2 linked regions of the Mus musculus genome follow. The protein of the gene in region 2 interacts with the protein of the main gene of each other region in a biochemical or structural test. Links are inferred from orthologs where the notes say so. Each region holds a gene or a part of one and is shown on either strand. Other genes may lie near its edges.

Region 1 (9,630 bases), on a different chromosome or scaffold from region 2:
CAGGGAGCAGGCCGGGCTGGGTGTGGGGCTCCTCACACTTGGGAGTCCGCCCCCAGAGGGTGGAAGAGCTCCTCGGGTGTCTTGTCACTTTGGCTGGCACCCCCCTGCCGGAAGCCGGAAGCGATCTCATCGAAGGTTCGGCCTTTGGTCTCAGGGACTTTGAAGTAGGTGAAGATGAAGAAGAGCACGAGGAGCACCGTGAAGATGATGAAGACGTAGGGGCCGCACAGTTGCTGCAAAACAGACACAGGTCAGCCCGCATCCCGGCTGCAAGGGTCCTGCCATGCTCTCCAACACGAACCTCTGAACCTTTGGTCTTAAGAAGGGGTTTGCGACCGCCACCCAGAGGTGCTATGAAAACCTGTCCTGTGACAGGCTCCAGAAACGGCATGGGAACTAAGGGGAGAGCCTGGACTGGCAGTGCTCTGCCAGGTGAGCTGGGCTTCTATGCTTGCTTGTCACATGACTCTTGGGCCAGGCCATCACAAAGCATGATGGCTCCCTACGTGTAGTTGAACGATGGAGGACAGACAATGCGGCTCTCACCTCCACATACTGGAAGCACATGCCCACAATGAAGTTTGAGGTCCAGTTGGAGAAGCCAGCCACAGCAATAGCAGCAGGACGGGGCCCCTGGCTGAACAGCTCGGCCACAATGAACCATGGAATAGGACCAGGGCCTACTTCAAAGAAGGCCACAAAGCCAAAGATGGCCACGATGCTCAGATAGGACATCCAAGGCAGCCGTTCCTGTTGAGGGAGATAGGGTGAGAGGTTAGGTGGGACATGACAGATTCAGGAGGAAGAGGAGGAGTCTCCAAACTGGGCTGAGAGGTAGGCCTGGGGTCACCTGGATTTGCTGTGCACTGCAATGTGATGGTCTGAGGGCGAATGGCCCCCCATGGGCTCACGTTTGAATGTTTGGGACGGCTAAGGGGTGTGGCTTTGTTGGAGGTGTGTCATTCTCAGTAATTACCCCAGGATCATGCCTGCCTACCTGTGGCCTGCCATGCTCTCCAACATTATGGCTGTGGACTCTGGAATCATGAGCCCCCAAAGTAAAATGTTTTCTTTTATAAATTGCCTTAGTCATGGTGTCTTATTACAGCAATTAAAAAGCAACAGACACACCCAGGTGTCCTGTGCAGGGTCTCAGTCCCACAAGGATCTAGTCTATGCCCATCTTCTCGTGCTCTTGGACTCCAGGGGGCTTTTCCTTGCTTGGGTTGGACTCAGGGGAGGAGTGTGTGCAGTGATAGGCTGGGGACCTGGCCTGAGGTCAATGCTTAGCTTCATTCCTTATCCAGCCTGGGACTTTAGTTCGAGTGGGACGTGAGACGCTTCATAATCTGAAGCTGTCTGAGCAAGTCACATGACTCCAGAGGGAAAAGTCTACCTGACCACGTCTGATGCCAGTCAAAATACAGACATGATAAACATACCATGTGTGGAAGGCACATATGAAACAAATGAATTCTACTTTTAGACTTGAGTCCTAATCTGAAAGTAACTCACTGAATATATGCAGATATTCACAAATCTGGTTGAGCACTTCAGAGAAGCTCAAGCTGTAAAAACTAACATCACAGTTCCTAGTTTGGAGAATGGAGACAGGCGTGTTTGTGCACCTCTGTGGCAGTAAGGGGACCACTGTCCACTGAAGGTTGCTCTGGAGATGAACTGAGGCTTTCTAGGTAAAGGCTCTGTAAGGTTCAGCTTCAGGAGAGGCATTTCCATATGGAGCTTGGGTCTGTCTACATGTGCAGGAAATCCCCAGGCAGGGAAGAGAAAGATCGAGATGGGAGGAAACAACCTGAGAAGCAGAGGTCAGGCCCAGTCCAGGGGCACACTGACATGGGGCAACCGAGGCTGGGTGCAACATGGGTATTTATTTGGGATCTAAATCCAGGTATAATCTACAGCCATGGCACCTTGTACATGCCCGGTGTGCCTCAATCCAGGTCCCCACTCTACCTTGCACTGGGCCTTCCAGGGCACAGCCACTCACCAGCAAGGCCAGGGCGATGGTCATGAGCACAGCACAGCCTGCCATGCCAGCCAGGCCAATGAGGTGCAGGGTCCGTCGTCCAGCTCGCTCTACAACAAACAGCTGTGGGCAAGGAGAAAGACATGTTCTCAGCCTGGTGCCTCTTGGAGCCACCTGCCCAGAGGCTCACCTCAATAGCTAAATACAAGGAAATACATACACTAGTGGGGGAAATACCTCTCCCCACCAGGCTGAAGCTTGGGGGCCTTGTAGGGACCGAGGGAAGGAATATGCCTCTGAGCCCAACAGTACCAGGGTGAAAGGTACTGGTGATCAGAGAGCTAATGCACACAGGCTGTGAGCTTGGGAGAGCTCTTGCCTTCTCACCTCCCTGAGCATCTGTGACAGCTGCACGGGGTGAGTAATGAGCCTCACACGTTTACTGACATTAAGTCTGGCTCCCACAACAGGCTGCCATTCTGTCCTGATGCCCTGAACTGGACCCTGGCTGCCGACCAAAAGCGAGACTCACCGACACCACAGTGAAGGCCGTGTTGACGATACCGGAGCCGATGGTGGCGTACACAGGCTGCTGCACACCTGCCTTCTCGAAGATGCTCGTTGAGTAGTAGAACACCTGCCAGAAAGGGAGATCATTGGAGATCCTCCATGCTTATGGCCTTCTCCTTCCTCTGTACTAGTTACAAGTAGGTGTGGGACCCAAGGTGAGTGTGTGTGTGTGTGTGTGTGTGTGTGTGTGTGTGTGTGTGTTGGGGCATGGGGGATCAACACTTCCCAGGCAGGTGGATACTGCTGCAGGTTTTGGCTCCACAGGTACACTGCTTTGTGTACCCACGGGAAGAACTTAGTATTTCCCTCAGGACTCACTCGCGGTGCACACTTGAGCCTGGACTTGGCTGGGGCCACAGGAAGGGGTAGGTGGGGTACTCACAGCATTGATACCCGACAGCTGCTGGGACAGCTGCAGCACCACAGCGATGAGGATGGGCTGGCGGTAGGCGGGTGAGCGGAACAGCTCCAAGATGGTGACCTTCTTCTCCCGCATCATCTGCCGACCCTCTTCTTTCATCTCCTGCAGGTCTCGGGTCACATCGGCTGTCCCTCGAAGCTTCTTCAGCACTGGTGGGACCAGAGGGAAGGTGGGATGGCTCAGAGTGGGGAAAAGGCCCGAGCTCAGGGGGAGAGGGAGGAGGGCAGGGCCCAGCCCGTACCACTCTTGGCCCGGTTCTCCTCGTTACGATTGATGAGCAGGAAGCGGGGGCTCTCGGGGCAGAAGGGCAACAGGATACACTGTAGCAGGGCTGGGATGAAGATGACACTGAGCAGCAGAGGCCACAAGTCTGCATTGCCCATGATGGAGTCTAAGCCAAACACCTGGACAAAGAAACCAGGGACTGTGAGTGCCCTGCCCTGGCCCTACTCCAGTATCCATCCCAGCCACCAAGCGGGCTGTCCCTGTCTGCCCACCGGCTGCTGGGGGAGGGAAGGACCTTTCTTGTTCCCTCACCTGCAAAACCAGCTCAAACTATAAAGGACAAGCAAGGGACAACGCCACATATAAGTGTGCCCGGCACAGCATGTGGGGGTTGCTACTCAGCTATAGGAGTAAAAGATGGAGGATCCTCCAGGAGAGGAGTGCCATGCTCATGAAGGCTTCTAGGCCTGGAAGCCCAGGTGAAGGCCAAGGGCTCTTGTAGGCTGTGGGTCTGGGGGTCACTGTGCTCTGGGATCTGTCTACCATGAGGTTGTCCTAGGCTGGGCAGCAGGTAGACCCAGAACTGGCTTACCTGGGCAATAAGGATGCCAACGACGATTCCCAGCTGGTGCAGTGTGCCTAGGGCTCCACGTAGAGCTGTAGGTGACACCTCTCCCACATACATGGGCACAAAGCCAGTAGTCAGGCCGCAGTACACACCGATGATGAAGCGGCCCAGGATCAGCATCTCAAAGGACTTGCCCAGTTTGGAGAAGCCCATAAGCACAGCAGCCACAAAGGCCAACAGGTTCATCATCAGCATGGAGTTCCGCCTGAGGATGGGTCACAGGTCAGCCAGCTCCCGGGACCCCCAGACTTCCCAGGAATGAGGCCATAGTCAGGGATGTTTCTGCCACCCCACCTTCCCCCAGAACTCCCCAGACAGGATGACACAGGCTCCCCAAGGCAGGGCTGGAGCCTTTCTTGCTTACCTGCCAAAGCGATTAACAAAGAGGCCGACAGAGAAGGAACCAATCATGCCCCCGACAGAGAAGATGGCCACGGAGAGAGACCAAAGCGTGGTGAGTGTGGTGGATGGGATGGGCTCTCCGTAGCGGTGGTTCCATGTTTGATTGTAGAACTCCTCAATAACCTGCAGGGAGAAGGGCCTGGGTAGGTGGCTACTGTCTCACCATATCGCCAGGGCTTGGCTCTGCTGCAAACGTCCTCACAGTGCTCTCCAGCCAGGCCCCTTCTCCGCTTTACATAGGTTCAGTTTCTCCGGACGAAAAGAGGACTGGGCTCTCCCCCTCTCCTAAGGTGGTCAAGACTCTGAGGATGGTGGCCAAGGAGGACAGAGCAGCAAGGCACAGGGAAGAAAATGCTCCTTCTGCCTATCTGCCCCCTTCCAGATGGCTCTCAACATACTCTAGGCCACAGCTGTAGGCCCTGGGCCCTGCCCCGACCCCCTGCTGAGGAGGAAGCACAGCTAGGCAGACAGGTTATGCATCCTGCGAGCCTGACGAAGTGCGCACTCACTGACTCTGCAGTTTGAGCCTGCAGGACTAAGGACACGCTCTAAAGCACACTGTCACTTCTGTCTTCCAGGCCCAGTTCCCCTGTGGCTGGCTGGAAATGCCACCTGAAGAAGCCACCGCCTCTTTTCTTTTCCAGGTGCTCAGCTGATGATCAGGGAAAGGCCCCAGGCAAGGAAGTAGTTCTAGGAACTGGAGAATCTGTCCTGGTGTGGGCCTGCTCTCTAGCCCTGCCCCCACACCAGAGGGCCTAACCTGGTGCCAAGGATATAGCCATGGGCAGGTGGCACTGGTTCTGACACACTCACCACACTGTCAGGCAACACGGACAACACCCAGTGCCACAGCCTAGCCAGACCCACCCAGCACACATGTACCACGGACAAGCCCAAGTACACATGGGGAACCAACTTTCTAGGTCCACACCCTGTCATGACAGGGCAGAGCTTTTATTTCACTTCACTTCTTCTTTCTTTGAAACAGGGTCTCAGGAACTCACAGCAACCCTCCAGCCTCAGCCTTTTGAATGTTAGGATTATAAATGTGAGTGACTGTGCCTGGATCATATTGTACTCACAAGGCTCTGGGTTTCGGCCAGTCTCTCTCTCACACACACACACACACACACACACACACACACACACACACACACACACACCCCTTATCACCTGCAGCTCTCACACAAGCCATTCCCTCCCAGGTGCACACGGCAAGCTCCTGAGCATGGAACTGCACATCGTCTCTTCACAGCCATTCCATTTCCAGTCCTGATCTACACCCTCAAGTGCAGCAGAAAGGAATAGGTGCAGAAAGGAAAGGTGAGCAGCACTTTGCCAAGGTAAGTGTGTGGGAGTGGGGCGGCCCTCGTCCCTCATCATCTTTACCCCTGCTTGGTCATCATGATTTGTGTGTCAAGTCCAGAGACGGAGCCAGGCTCAGGCTTAGAACAGACTGGGAAAAGGTGGCCTAAGCACCTGCTATACAAGGGAAGCCAGACAGTGCAGGGCTCAGCAGCTAGTTCTGAATGGAAACGTAATGAGTTCTAATCCCAGGTCACTCCTTTGCTCCCAGCTGACTGTGGGCACTCACTGTGAGCAGCCGTGAGCTCCAACCGCCTCTTCTCTAATGCCGACTTCAGCATTGTGCTTATGCATCACTTAAAGGGGGCCCATTCTGAGAAATGTGTTATTAGGTGATTCCACTGTACGAACATCAGAGTGCATTTGGAATAAAACTAAATGCTGTGGGCCACTCAGGGCTCTTGATGCAATTAAGGGATGGCAAACATGAGACACGCCAGGATGCTGGCATGTAACCCAGAAGGGTGTTTCAGGGCAAACTGTTCTAGTATGCAGAAGGAACTCACTGGGAAATTATGATAAAAATATACCCAATAAACTAATAATGGCTATGTCTATTACCATCTTATAATTATTAAAAGTTTTATTCTAAATCATGTGTATATCTGTATGTGGGTTATGTGCACCTGAGTACAGGTGCTCATGTGGGCCAAAAGGGGGTGTCAGATGTCCCAGGGCTGGAGGTATAAGAAGTTGGCAGCTGCCTAGTTTGGGTACTAGGAACTAAACCTAAGTTCTCTGCAAGAAAATCGTGCTCTGCACCCCTGAGCCATCCCTCCAGCCATTACTGTCATCAGCATATATGGTACTTTTTGAACATGACCGTGCATGCTAAACATGTTGTTTCTGTTGTAGTGAAGACTAAATTTGGGATCCTGGGTACACTAGACAAGGGCTCTAGTGCTTGCCTGTTTAGCCTTGTGCTAAACTTTTATGCCTGGCAGCACGGTGGGTAGGTTTACAGACCTATGAGTAACGCTGTTATGCCAATGTTGCTAGATCACAGAGCTATTTTCTACATGGCTTTGTTTTGCAGTGCTGGGGATAAACTCAGGGCCTTGCACATGCTGGTCATATGCTCTACCACTGAGCTACTTTCCAGCTGTTATGGTATTACAGGATAGCCATTCTGTACATACCGTCTGTCACTGAAAAGTCTTTATGTGGCCCATGACTGCTTCCTCTACAGTGCTAGAGGAAACTGAGGAAACATACTTATGGTACCTACCACACAGTACTGGACCCAGTTCATTGAAAACCACTGTCAAAGTCTGACTACATCCTCCTGACAAAATTCCACAGAGAGGGTCATGCCCCATTCAGTCCCTGCTCCGATGGCCATCTTCCAGTTTACATCCCATCCCTGCTACCACTCCTGCCTCTGAGATCCAGCCCAGGCCAGGGGCCAGAGCCAGTGGTAGGGGTACCTTGAGTCAACAAAGGGTCTTAGGCTCTCTTCTAGAAAACCTTGGTCCTACAGGGGTCAGAGACTGGGCCAAGTTGGACAAGCAAAACAAAGTGCTTGTGTTCTTCAAGGGACACACAGCCCAGAGAGCTGCTGGAAAGGCAAGGTCCCATTTATCAGGCTCTGTAGGGGACAGGCTGTTCTGAATAAGAAGCTGCAGAGATAAAAAGTGCTTCTCCAGGGCCCAGAGCTGGGAACTGGGGCTCCTTCCCTTTGGTTGTACAGGGTGACCAAATAGACCCACAAGCAGAATTGAACGGTAATGGGGGCCTTTCCCTGTAGGCAAAACACTCATACACATAAAAAATTTTTGAGATAGGGTCTCTCTATGTAGCACTGGCTGTACTGAAATTCTCTATACAGACACCAGGCTGTCCTTGAACTCAGAGATCTGCTTGCCCCTGCCTCCCAAGTACTTGGGACTAAAGGCATATGCCATCGCAATTGATTAAAAAATACTTTTTTGAAACTGGCTAATGGAGCTTACTTGAACTGTGTGCAAATGGTAGATCTGTGCAGAGTAAGTCAGCTAAGACTGAAGAGAAGCTGCCTGCATGAACTTAAGGGCGAGCACTGAGCCTCTCTCTCTTCCTCCAGCTCAGGTCTTTAGCTTTCCTCACAGAAGCAGCGAAGTGATAAGGTGCTCCCAACCTCTCCCACCCACATGCAGGGAAGCTGCTGGCCTGGGTTGTCAGCAGTGAGCCAAAGCTCACTCTCCCGCTCCTTCCTCTCTGTTGCCGAGTCCTCTGCCGGGCAGCACGGGCACCAGCTTCCTATACTGTAACAGCGGTCCCACCCAGGCTCAGGGACAGCAGAGGCTGAGCAGTGGGCTTCCTATCAGAATCAGGAATACTGTCTGAGCCTGGCTTTCCAGTCCTGCTGCTCTGAGACTCCTTCTGTAAGGTTCACATGAGGCTCCAAGCTCACACTGGCTCAGGGAAGACAGAGCAGCCCCAGAGAATCCAGAGAATTCTCTATGGGGGAAAAGTTCTAGGGCCACCTGTTCCATCCAGCTACTGCCCTCAGTGTCCATCTGGGAGAAAGGTGTCCTGCAGGGACAGAATGCCTGCTGACTACTCCCCTCATAGGATCCCAGCGGTAGCTGCCTGTCCTACCCCTTGTGCCAATCACAAGCCCAAATGTTATCCCTGACGCTGCCACTGTGCCCAACCCAAACGTCCCAGGTCTGCTGAATGTGCCTTCCCACCAGTCTCCTGTGCTGTGTGGCATCTGTCCTAGGTCCCTCCTGTGTTCTGTGTTCTGTTGCAGTCTTTCACCCCCAAAGCAATGCCTTTACATGGGTAATGAACTAGCACAGTCCTCCACTCTTCCTTGTAGGGAACATCTGAAGCAAACTGACCTAGACCAGTTAGAGGCGACAGTCTGGGTTCAACAGGCCTCCTGGGAAGGGCTGGAGCCACACATGGCTCGCACTTGCTTTTCAGAGAATCCTTTTACAGTGTAGAACCACTGGGCTGGAGCTGTGATGCAACCTGACATCTCTTGCAGATTCTGTTCCCAGCACCCAATGGCAGCTCACAGCCACCTGCAATCCCAAGTCTAGGGACCTCATGCTCTTTTTGAGCCTCCATGAGCACGTGGTGCCGACATGTATGCAGGCAAAACGCCCTCCAAATGTAAAATAACAAAACAAAAATAAAACGTGAAACCATTTCTTCCTGGGTTCATGCTGATGAGATAGGGAAAGAGCTAATCAGTTGAAAGATCTGTTGTGGAGTTGGCCTGTCACGAGGGCTGACATCTTAGAGATGCTCTGTTAGTGCAGAGGGTACTCGGGCTTCCTTGACCACACTCATGGGAAGTGCGTTGGCTCTGTGCAGCTGAGGTCCCTGGGCTGGGACAGCTTGCAAAAAAGAGCTACTCCACACTACCTGTTCCCTTAGTGAGGCGGGGGACCTGCACATGCCCAAGAGCTTCTTGGAAATCCTAAGACCCAGGCAACTGTGTGTGCGATGCCTGCTCTCTACAGAGGAAGTGAGCACTTCCTCTCTGTGGTGGCAGGGTGGTGTCTGTAAAGGGATGTGAGGCAGAACACGTAGCCTGCTCACAGAATAAGGCGTTATTGATGCCATTTGTGCTCCCCAGGAGAGAAGCCACCTTTCAGAGAGAAGCAAGAGGGAGGGGATCTAAGGTGTGACCTAAGGTGTGACCACTTAGCACACCAGGACCTCTGCTCAAGCCTCAGAGCAGCAAAAACAATCAAAATTAAAAACAAAAACCAAAAACCCTAAACCACAGGGGAGCACTGAGATAGGGTTCCCGGCTTACATTGCCAGGGGCTATGTAAGCTATATGGGGCAAGAAGAACCTGAGGGAACTAGGGCTTGACTCAGAAACCCTAAGGTTCTGTGGCCCCCGAGAGCAGAAGCCCTGGGCTCTTGGGTTTTTGATAAGTGGCTCCCCCACCTCAGGAAGGGTGAGTGACCCAGAGCCATGTGAGGAAACATTCATAGGAAGGCTAAGTCTGAAGCCACATACAGCCTCTGTCACTTGCTTTTCTTTCAACCCTTTCAACATGTGAAAGGCTTACAGGCCACATGGGGTGC
Region 2 (10,367 bases):
TGCAGACAAAACACTCATAAAATAATAAAAGCAAACCTAAAAATTAAAGAAAGAGAGAAGGGGGGACACCAAGGCCAACATCCTTAGGAAAAGCTCTGAGAGGGTAAGAAGAAAAGAAACAAAATAGCAAAAGAGAAGAGAATAAAAACCAAAAGTCAAGATGAATCTCCAGTTCTTTAAATGATGGTTTTCAAACTATACAGTTGTTAAAAAAAAACCCTCACTTTGATGTCTTCTAAAAACACTGAAGAAAACTGACTGGAGCAGTGTGTCTCACCCTGTGGGCCTTGATCCCACGGGAGTTGTATAGCAGATATTTACATTACAATTAATAACAATAGCAAAATTACGGTTAGAAAGTAGCAATGAAATAACATAATGAGGAACTGCATTAGGGAGATTGAGAACCACTGCCTTCTCAGGAAAGGAAGGAGAGAGAAGCCAAACAGACATATCTGACTCAGGAGACTCCCTTTCGAGTCTCAAGCCGACTGGGTGCAGTGGCTGGGGTGCAGTGGCTGGGGTGCAGTGGCTGGGGTGCAGTGGCTGGGGTGCAGTGGCTGGGGTGCAGTGGCCGTGCTGGCAGTCAGGAGGCAGAAGCAGGAAGACCAGCCTCAACAGTGGGAAGCATGGGATTCCAGACAAGGTATTTATTTTATACAGGGGTCCCTTCTTGCCAGTCGTTGTTTGTTTTAGGTGCCCATGATGAATCCTCTAAACCTGGGACCGTCATCCTCAGAGCAAGCCCAGGAATGGCTCCAACCAGATATTTATTAGCTGGTTATCTGAGGGCGTGTCTTGCAACCAAACAAGGGAACTATTTAGAGTCCCCTTTAAATCTAAAACTCTGAGAGTCTTGCCCTGTATCCTTTCAATGCCATTGCAAAGATCAAACAAGGTACAAGTCAAAGCACCGAGAGGCAAGGCTCACATCTGTGCCTGGTGCCTGAGGAAGTATGGAACCTCCACGTGGGTGCTGGAAAACCAAACCTGGGTCCTCTGCAACAACAATTTCTCCTAACCACGGAGCTGCCTCTCCAGCCCATTGGGCCTCTTCTTTGCTTTTCATTCTCCATCTGTATATCATTCCTTTGTAAATAATATTAAATGTCTCACGACATAGCCCAGGCTAGTCCTGGAGTGGTGGCTCTCCTCTGCCTTACTCTCCCAGTACTGGAGTTACAAGAGTGAGTCACCTGCTTGCCTGGCACAGAACAGGTAGGCCTAGGATGAAGTTCTGGATGTACTTACAGAAACCTGTGACCTCGGGCAAATCACGGTGCCTTTCTGTGAGCCACTGGGTTATTGTGGGAACTAAATGAAATAATCCAACCTTAAATCCTGTTTAAAACGAGAAGGTAGCTGACTTTACAAATAAAATAGCATTGGCACAAGTGTGCTGATGAACCTCAGTTGGGAGAGGGCCGGCTTGCTCATTTAGTTCCAGTGCTGTGGAAGCAGAGACAGGGGCAGAAGAGGGCATCGGATCTCACTATAGATGGTTGTGAACCACCATGTGGTTGCTGGGGATTGAACTTAGGACCTCTGGAAGCTCTTAACTGCTGAGCCATCTCTCCAGCCCAAATCCTGTCTGTCTTTTTTTTTTAAAAAACAGGTTTGAGGTCATCCTTGGCTATTATAGCAAGTTTGGGGCCAGCCTGGGACACATGCAACCTTGTCCAAAAAAAAAAAAAAGTCTCTTTGAATTCTTTTTTTTTGGTTTTTCGAGACAGGGTTTCTCTGTATAGTAGTCTGGGTAGTCTCAAATCCCACAGACTCATTTCACAACCCCCACCCCTAAACTACCTTCTTAGGGAAAGACAGGAAAGAAGTAGGCAGATGAAGGAAAAGACATATTTTACAGTGATTAAGAAACCAAGCTGTTTTGCATCCCTAGCTCTGACTGTCTGCGGGGGCCAGAGGTGAGAGAATAAGGACCTGCAGGCCTGGCTTCACCTCCTGTGAAGGCTGCACTGCCAGCTTTGGCACCCGGTTGTCTAGAGTAAAACAAACACAGGACAAACATTCCTGGCTTCCTACTGGCGCTGAGACTGAACTTGCAAGCCTCTGCTCCCCCTGGGCACAGCTGTCCTTGTCCCTGAACCCACAGCCTCTGCCCTGTTTTTGTTTATAAGACTTTTTTTTCTTCCATCCAAGAACTGAGATGGGTACGTGCGTACATGTGCATGTGCGTGTGAGTGTGCGTGTGTGTGTGTGTGTGTGAGAGAGAGAGAGAGTGAAGAGGGACAAACTGCTATGAGAATACCAGGTGAAAGGTTATAAACAATCCACTCCAGGAGGCAGCCAATTCAGAACAAGCCTTGGCTATAGGCCCAGGAAGCAGCTGCCACTGCCAGAGTTAAACAGATTTTTGGCCTAACGCAGAACAAACAAGTGGTCTGTGCTGAGCGCCGCAAATTAAGAAACGATAGCCGTGCAGGGGACAGGACACAGAACTGTCCACAGGTTTTTCCTTAATTAAAGAATTCAATACTCCATAGACAACACCGAATAACTATCAGCATTGCCTCCAAGGAGACAGCCCAAGGCAGCACCCTCTCACCCCTTAGCAGCCTCCCCTCCTTCATCTGACCTCAAGGTTTAAAAACAAGAACTTTTTTACATTTAAATTTTTTATTTTGGGTGTCTCTGGAGTGACTACTGGAGAGGGGAAGGAGAGGGGAGGGGGAGAGGGGAGGTCAGAGTTGGTTCTTTTGCTACTGTGTGGGTTCTGCTATTGAACTCAGGTTGGCAGGCCTGGCACCATCTCTCTGGTTCTCCTGAAGTCTTATGTAGCTGGGGCTGAAGAGATGGCTTGGTGGTTGATAGTATCAGAGGAAACGAGTTCGAGTCCCAGAACCAAAAAACGGCAGCTCACAACTCTTAACTCCACTTCTAAGGCATCGGCGGACACCTGCAGCAAGCACACAGGTGGTAGAAGAAAATAACAGCCATATACTTACAAAATTTTTAAATCTTATGTTGCTACATACCACACTATTTAACAACATCGATATATGAACTTTCGGTATATTTTGATATTTCATACCATCAAGCTAAGGTTTTCTCAGATGCCTGCTACAGGCACTGAGAAACTGAAGTTAGTGAGCGACCTACCTCCCTTACAGTATTCATAAATACTGTTTATCGTTGGAAAACACCTGACGCCTAGTTAGTTAACTTTCTGGAACAAACACACCCTAAGGATCAAGGTGTTCCTAGGCCTTGGTGTTGTGTATATGTTTTTGAACCGTGTGATGTTCATCTCTGTGCTTGCTTAAGGTTCAGTTGTAACTTGTTAGCCTTAGGGTGTCAACCCAGTTAGGGCGCGCGGGGGTGGGGGCTGGGGGTGTTGTTTATGAACAGCGGTGAACAGGCATGCAATCGCTTTTTACTTCTCCATCTTAATCTCAGGGCTATATCATCTTTATTTTCCTGCGCAAGGAAGGAGATAGATAGTCTCCTAATAATTCTGCCCAAATATGGAAGGAGTTTAGGACTCAATGACAAGGCTCCGGCGCGGGGTGGGGGTGGGGGTGGGAGTGGGTGGGTGGGTGGGGAATAGAGTAGGGGGCGAAGGGGGAGGGGGTTGCAGGTAATCCTTCACACAAGAGTTTCTTTGCACACTTAAGAGTTATTTCTCTAGTCAGCTCCTGAGGCATCTCTCAGCAAGGTTTGCCAGATAACTAAGTGAAACTAACACAGCTCCAGCGCCGGTGAAATTGAAACAGGCTTAGGGACATGCATTTCATTTAGTGAATTTGGAGAGAGGACAGAGGGGGGAAAAGAATGACAGGAACTCGAAAACAAAGTAAGGAGTGAGGTTCTTTTTCTTCCTTTTTCTTTCTTTCTTTTATTTTATTTTTTTGGTTTGTCCACCTCTTGTTTCCTGGAGAAACAAGGACGGGGGAGCCATCAGTGTGAAAGTAAACACCTCACAAAGCTGCAGTGAGGAACAAGGGAACATATACAAAATGTTCCCCAACTTCACAGGTACACTGAAGAGATGAGGGGATAAGCAACAGGATGTGGACACTCCCTTACTGCTTCCGCTCCAGAGAACAGAATAGAATGTAATGGGCGAGGAACAGTAGCAGCACATAGGGGCATGAAATGAGGGGGAAATGAGGGGAACCCACCAGAGCATTCACCAGAAAGGACTGAAAGCCAGACTTTAAAATATCTGACAAGTTCTCGTCTGGAGAGACCGCAGCCTTTTATTCTTCAATAGAAGTGCAATAGGAGCATATCGGGTGGGCTCTTTCTCACTAACACGACTGCACTCTCGCCCTCCGCTCCATCCTGGAGTATCCTCGGTGCGATGGGATTGTTTTTCACAAGACTTGCGAACTTGTGAGCCAGGAATAAATGGTCACCTCGAAATGAATTGCGCTGGCTCAGGCGAGTCATGAAATCCTCTCCTAAGCACATTTTTCTTTCACCTAAAAAAAGAAGGGGGAAAAAAAAAACAAAGCACACACCCAAATAACCCAGCTCCCAAGAGGAGTCCCCTGGATGAGGTTCAGGGTCCCGGGGTCCCAGCCTCCCGGGGGGAGGGAGGGCACCCGTCGCCCCGGGCCCCGCCCCTCCTGCTGGCAAGGCTGCGCACCCGAACAACAACCATTTTCCCCGCTAGGAGCACACCGTGTCCACGCGCCCCGGCGGCCTCGCTGATTGGTTGGAGGCCTGGTAAACAAGGGCCAAGTAGCCAATGGGAGAACTGTGCACGAGGGCTGCACGAGCCTCCAGGCCAGCACTCGCGTGGAGCGCCAAGCCAGGCGGCTATATAAGCCGTTTCCGGCAGCCGCTTGACACTCTCCTCCTCTGGTCTCGGGGTTTCCAGAGTTTCTCCAGTTGCGGAAGACAGCTGTTATTTTTCTCCTGAAAGCTTTTGGCACAGCCGGCAGGCTGAAACTTCCAGGCACCTTTTGGAAAAGTTGTTAGGGTTTGTTTGAAGCTTTCTTTACATTTTCGTTTGGGTTTTCAAGCCCTGACTTTACGGAGGCGAGCTCTTCGTTTGCTTTGAAGGGTTCTTAAAGATTTTTTTCCTCTCCGGCTTTCGTTTTTCTTGAACCCACTCGGCTCAATCATGGTGATGTTCAAGAAGATCAAGTCTTTTGAGGTGGTCTTCAACGACCCCGAGAAGGTGTACGGCAGCGGGGAGAAGGTGGCCGGACGGGTAATAGTGGAAGTGTGTGAAGTTACCCGAGTCAAAGCCGTCAGGATCCTGGCTTGCGGCGTGGCCAAGGTCCTGTGGATGCAAGGGTCTCAGCAGTGCAAACAGACTTTGGACTACTTGCGCTATGAAGACACACTTCTCCTAGAAGAGCAGCCTACAGGTACTGCTCCCAGCAGGACTGATGGTGACTTGGGAGGTCTGTGGGTCGGGGAGGGCACCACTAAATGTTTCGAGTTGTTCGTTTGAATGGTTTGAACTGTTGGTCCCTATATTTTTTTACTTTGTAATTAGCAAGTTTTTCACTACCCTTCACCCCCCTAGAGTGATTTGAACACTTTCTGAGGTACTGTTTCCTGAAAGTGTTGTCTTAGCTACTACTTAAAGATTAATGTATTTGTGGATTTCGCAACTTTCTGTCCAAGAAAGTGCTCTGGGATCTTTTCTTCCATAGTGTAAGAGATGAAAGTGGAAGTGAAGTAAGGTAGTCTACTGCCCAGGCACTCCTCATTGACGCTTTCAAAATGTAACAAGAAGCCTAATGGCCCCTTGTCTTTGTTTCCCAGCAGGTGAGAACGAGATGGTGATCATGAGGCCTGGAAACAAATATGAGTACAAGTTCGGCTTCGAGCTTCCTCAAGGGTAGGCATCCACCGTGTGCACCTTGCACTCTTATTTCTAAGTCTTCCCCCTCCATTGATCTCTTACAGTTCTTAGCCTTAATTTTGGTTCATTGTTTTGACACAGGCCCCTGGGAACATCCTTTAAAGGAAAATATGGTTGCGTAGACTACTGGGTGAAGGCTTTTCTCGATCGCCCCAGCCAGCCAACTCAAGAGGCAAAGAAAAACTTCGAAGTGATGGATCTAGTGGATGTCAATACCCCTGACCTAATGGTGAGGATTTTTTGTTTTTGTTTTTAAAAAGGTTTTAAAATTCTTCTTGGTCAGGGATAATAAATTAGATGCATGGGGGTTGAAATATCTCAAAACATTATTTCCTTTTACACAGGCACCAGTGTCTGCCAAAAAGGAGAAGAAAGTTTCCTGCATGTTCATTCCTGATGGACGTGTGTCAGTCTCTGCTCGAATTGACAGAAAAGGATTCTGTGAAGGTAAAAACATACTGCTTCAAATGCTAGACAGGATAGCCAGAACTGGGGGTGGGGGGGTTGGGGGTGGTACGGAGAGGGTCGTAGGGTAGAGGCAGAGGAAGTGCTGTTAACTTGCATGGCTATTCATACTTCCTCATTTTATTTTAACTCTAGGTGATGACATCTCCATCCATGCTGACTTTGAGAACACGTGTTCCCGAATCGTGGTCCCCAAAGCGGCTATTGTGGCCCGACACACTTACCTTGCCAATGGCCAGACCAAAGTGTTCACTCAGAAGCTGTCCTCAGTCAGAGGCAATCACATTATCTCAGGGACTTGCGCATCGTGGCGTGGCAAGAGCCTCAGAGTGCAGAAGATCAGACCATCCATCCTGGGCTGCAACATCCTCAAAGTCGAATACTCCTTGCTGGTGAGTGGGTGAGAAGAGAGACAATTACCTGGTTACAAATTCAGTGCTTTCTGTACTCAACCCATCTAACAAACTGCCATCCTCCTCTCTAGATCTACGTCAGTGTCCCTGGCTCCAAGAAAGTCATCCTTGATCTGCCCCTAGTGATTGGCAGCAGGTCTGGTCTGAGCAGCCGGACATCCAGCATGGCCAGCCGGACGAGCTCTGAGATGAGCTGGATAGACCTAAACATCCCAGATACCCCAGAAGGTAAGCTGCAGCCGGATAGGTTCGAGTTATTTTGATCTGCTTGGGCTTGTGGAGTTGGGGTGACCTGGCATTTATTTCTTAGTCGGACTTCTGACACCGTTTTCTCTCTTCAGCTCCTCCTTGCTATATGGACATCATTCCTGAAGATCACAGACTAGAGAGCCCCACCACCCCTCTGCTGGACGATGTGGACGACTCTCAAGACAGCCCTATCTTTATGTACGCCCCTGAGTTCCAGTTCATGCCCCCACCCACTTACACTGAGGTGAGAACTGCTATTCTCACAGGGTCAACATTTTGTCCTAGGCCTTTTGAAGGAAGGGTTAATGTGGGTTTTCTACTTAACTAAAAAACCTGAAAATTTCCTCTCTATTCCCCTTCCAGGTGGATCCGTGCGTCCTTAACAACAACAACAACAACAACAACGTGCAGTGAGCCTGCAGGAAATGAAGCATCTGTATTAGCGCATTTCTTTCTGCCTCTCTGCTTGAACTCCAGTGTTTCAGAGACTCAGTCTCTACAGCGGGGAACGGGTACACCCCAGCCGCTGACTCCTCAAGATGGGTGGCAATCAGTAGGCGGGTCTCCGGCTTCAAGTGGTGCAGACCAGTGCCCGCACTGTGGCATAGGAGTGTTTGCTGGGTGGATGTCAGAACACTCTTAGAAAAATTGAGACCTGACCACTTTCTCGGATGTTGGAAATGAAGAACTTGTTTGTGTTGACTGAGTCAGGGCACTGCTGACCTTCTGGCGTTGTCTTTCCAAGGTTTTTGTTTTAAAGGGACTTTTAAATTGTCTAAAATATCAGTAGACCATCATCTGTGCCATGGGGGACAGAGCCAATTTCAAGTCATGGCCAAAATTTTGTAAGAGGAGTGTTTTTGTGTGTTTTTTAAAGTCAGTGTTCCTTTTTTATATCTTTACAAAGAAAAGACCTTCCACGGCTGGTGAGCACGCAGCCTGTGAAATTCGGGGCAGCTGCTCCAAGTTGACTTCACCCTGGGAGCAGTAGTAGCTGTGCCCACTGACGGCCATAAAAGCCATTTTACAGCCAGTTGCACTGTGTTCTCTTGTAAGCATAATCAGATGGGAGAATCTGTTATTTCCCTGTAACCCCTTGGAATTGATTCTAAGGTGATGTTCTTAGCACTTTAGCTTGTCAATTTTGTTTTAGTCTCCGTTATAGATGTAAGCTCCACCAGTCTCTTAAGGATTAAGCCCAGTGACTTGGAGGGTGGGGGTTAGGGTCTCTATCCCTGAACATTGTAGACCCAGGCTGGCCTGAGAGATCCACCTGCCTCTGCCTCCTGAGTGCTGCGATCAAAGGCCCAGCTTGGTTATTGCTTTTGAGGCTTTCTCCCAACGCACAGACTTGTGTAATTCTAACACTAATCCTGTGAAGGGTTGTGGTTGACAGCTGGAGCCTGGGTGACATTCTACATTGAGATGCCCCAGCACTGATCGGGGCACAGAAGCCCCCAGACCCCATTTCCTGTCCAGTGTTGGGAGAAAGTGCTGCTTTCACTGTGGCCTCAGCCCTGGCTCGGAAGCTCACTAAGCCTTAGCACTTTGTCCTGTGTCAGCTCCACCTGAGAACTGTGCAGCCAGAATGTCTGCGAGCTGATGGAGGTTTCGGTTTTGTTGTTTTTGTATTTTGTGTATCTTTTTGTATGATTAAAAACTATATTTTCTACTTATCCAAATATATTTTCACCCCAAAGTGGGGTTATCCTTTGTAAAAAAAAATAAAGTTTTTTAATGACAAAAATAAATGTTCTTTTCTTGTCTATGAGATACTGGAGAAGTTACTAGAAAGTGTTCCCCTGTCTCAATACTGAAAGCCCGTGGAGAGAGAAGTCTCTTGACGCTGAGTGACATAACGGCTGGTTTGGCCTCTGTTCAGACGGAGGAATCCGTAGGGTCTGGTAGTAGAAGCTAATTAACCACGTCCATAGTCAGAAAACTCCTTCAGGATCAGGCTTGCTCCTGGGACTGAGGATAGCCTTGAACCTCTGGTGCAGCCATCAAGAGCACGCAGTGTCATGCTCAGGTTTTCATAGTTTGTGTGTGTGAATGCAGGTGGGAATGTGGTGCTTAGAACCCACCTTGCAAAAGTCAGCTCCACTTTGTGGGACCCTGAGACCAGGACCTCAGGCTTCGCAGAAAGCGTCTTTTACTGCTGAGCCATCTCTGAGCCCAGTTCTCTGCCCTGTTTATGAATTCTTTAAAAATAACTAAGGGGATTTGGAAGGGACAGGGTGAGATTTTTATTTTTGTTAAATCCAAATGAGCAGCTTTTGTTTACACAAACGCAGGGAGGATGTGGGGAAAAGGGACTGGGAGATTAATGTGAGGGAAATTAAATGGGTGTTTGCTCAGATGGGAGGCAGGAAGCAGTCCTGGTGTGCTCCGGTGGATCTGATGTTCCCTAAAGCTCAGCAGACAGTCCAGAGTGAGAATGGGTTCTGACTGGCAGAGGCCTCAGCCCACCCTACCCCAAAACAGGATGACTGGTGGCAATGGAGTTTTTGGTTTGGTTTGAGACAAGTTCAGGCTAGCCTTAACCTGGAAGCAATCTGGCTCAGCCTCCCGAGCACTGGGGTTAGAAGACCACGGTCTCATTCATCACTTGGTTTTTATTGAGAATTCCCCCAATATAAACTTGGTTTATAAGCTGCAAAGAGGAACTATTTCAGACTTGGTTTTAGTTACAGGGATTAAATGTTTTAGAAGCAGCTACAGTTTTCTGTCTTTATAGATTATTGTGTTTTTTGAGACAGGGTTTCTCTGTAGTCCTGCTCTGTAGATCAGGCTAACCCCAAACTCAGAGATCCACTTTCCTCTGTCCCCCGAATGCTGGGATTAGCGTTTACCACCACAGCCTGACTCTTTACAGTTCTCAACGTATAATTAGAATTCAGTGTCTACCCTGATTCCTTGGGACCTGTTTTGGAATTTTCTATTTCTTAGAAGGGTATTGATGACTGATAAACCATTTCACTGCTAACTGAAGTTATTTTGTTCAGGAAAAAGCTACACACATGAGAAACAAAGATGGCAGAATACATCACACCATTCTTTCTGGTTTTTGGTTCATCTAAATGTTTTTCGTCAAAATGGGTTTTCCATAGCTCTCCACACACCAGTACACTCTCTGAAGCACTGTATTAGAAACCAAGGGGAGGCTCGCTGTGGTCATGCACACCTAAAACCCAGCATTTGAGAGGCAAAAGCAGGAGGATTGCCAAGAATTCAAGACAGCCTTGGCCACAGGTACCGCCAGGTCTGCTAGGGCTACAGAGCAAGCACTTTTATCCCCCAAACAAACCACAAAACCACACATCACACAAAAAAAGCTGTGAACACAGAACTGAACAGAAATTGAAAAAAAAAGAAATCCTTTTCTGCGCTAGTAATTG

Evidence for each region.
Region 1: the proteins of Txnip (region 2) and Slc2a1 form a complex in vitro, tested with the Homo sapiens proteins (2 studies listed by BioGRID). The link is inferred for Mus musculus from reciprocal best matches to the Homo sapiens genes TXNIP and SLC2A1.

What each region holds. Positions count from the first base shown.
Region 1 is NC_000070.6:119,126,849-119,136,478, reverse strand, and holds part of Slc2a1 (solute carrier family 2, facilitated glucose transporter member 1), read right to left. Parts: intron 6,192-9,630; exon of another isoform or gene 5,810-6,191; intron 5,557-5,809; exon of another isoform or gene 5,439-5,556; intron 5,282-5,438; exon of another isoform or gene 5,222-5,281; intron 4,910-5,221; exon of another isoform or gene 4,357-4,909; coding exon 4,196-4,356; intron 4,037-4,195; coding exon 3,796-4,036; intron 3,383-3,795; coding exon 3,220-3,382; intron 3,128-3,219; coding exon 2,940-3,127; intron 2,625-2,939; coding exon 2,520-2,624; intron 2,111-2,519; coding exon 2,009-2,110; intron 751-2,008; coding exon 547-750; intron 234-546; coding exon 33-233; 3' UTR 1-32. UniProt on the Homo sapiens protein: Facilitative glucose transporter, which is responsible for constitutive or basal glucose uptake. Has a very broad substrate specificity; can transport a wide range of aldoses including both pentoses and hexoses.
Region 2 is NC_000069.6:96,553,147-96,563,513, forward strand, and holds Txnip (thioredoxin-interacting protein), read left to right. Parts: upstream 1-4,810; 5' UTR 4,811-5,089; coding exon 5,090-5,339; intron 5,340-5,742; coding exon 5,743-5,818; intron 5,819-5,923; coding exon 5,924-6,071; intron 6,072-6,186; coding exon 6,187-6,289; intron 6,290-6,442; coding exon 6,443-6,699; intron 6,700-6,791; coding exon 6,792-6,948; intron 6,949-7,061; coding exon 7,062-7,213; intron 7,214-7,332; coding exon 7,333-7,383; 3' UTR 7,384-8,711; downstream 8,712-10,367. UniProt on the Homo sapiens protein: May act as an oxidative stress mediator by inhibiting thioredoxin activity or by limiting its bioavailability.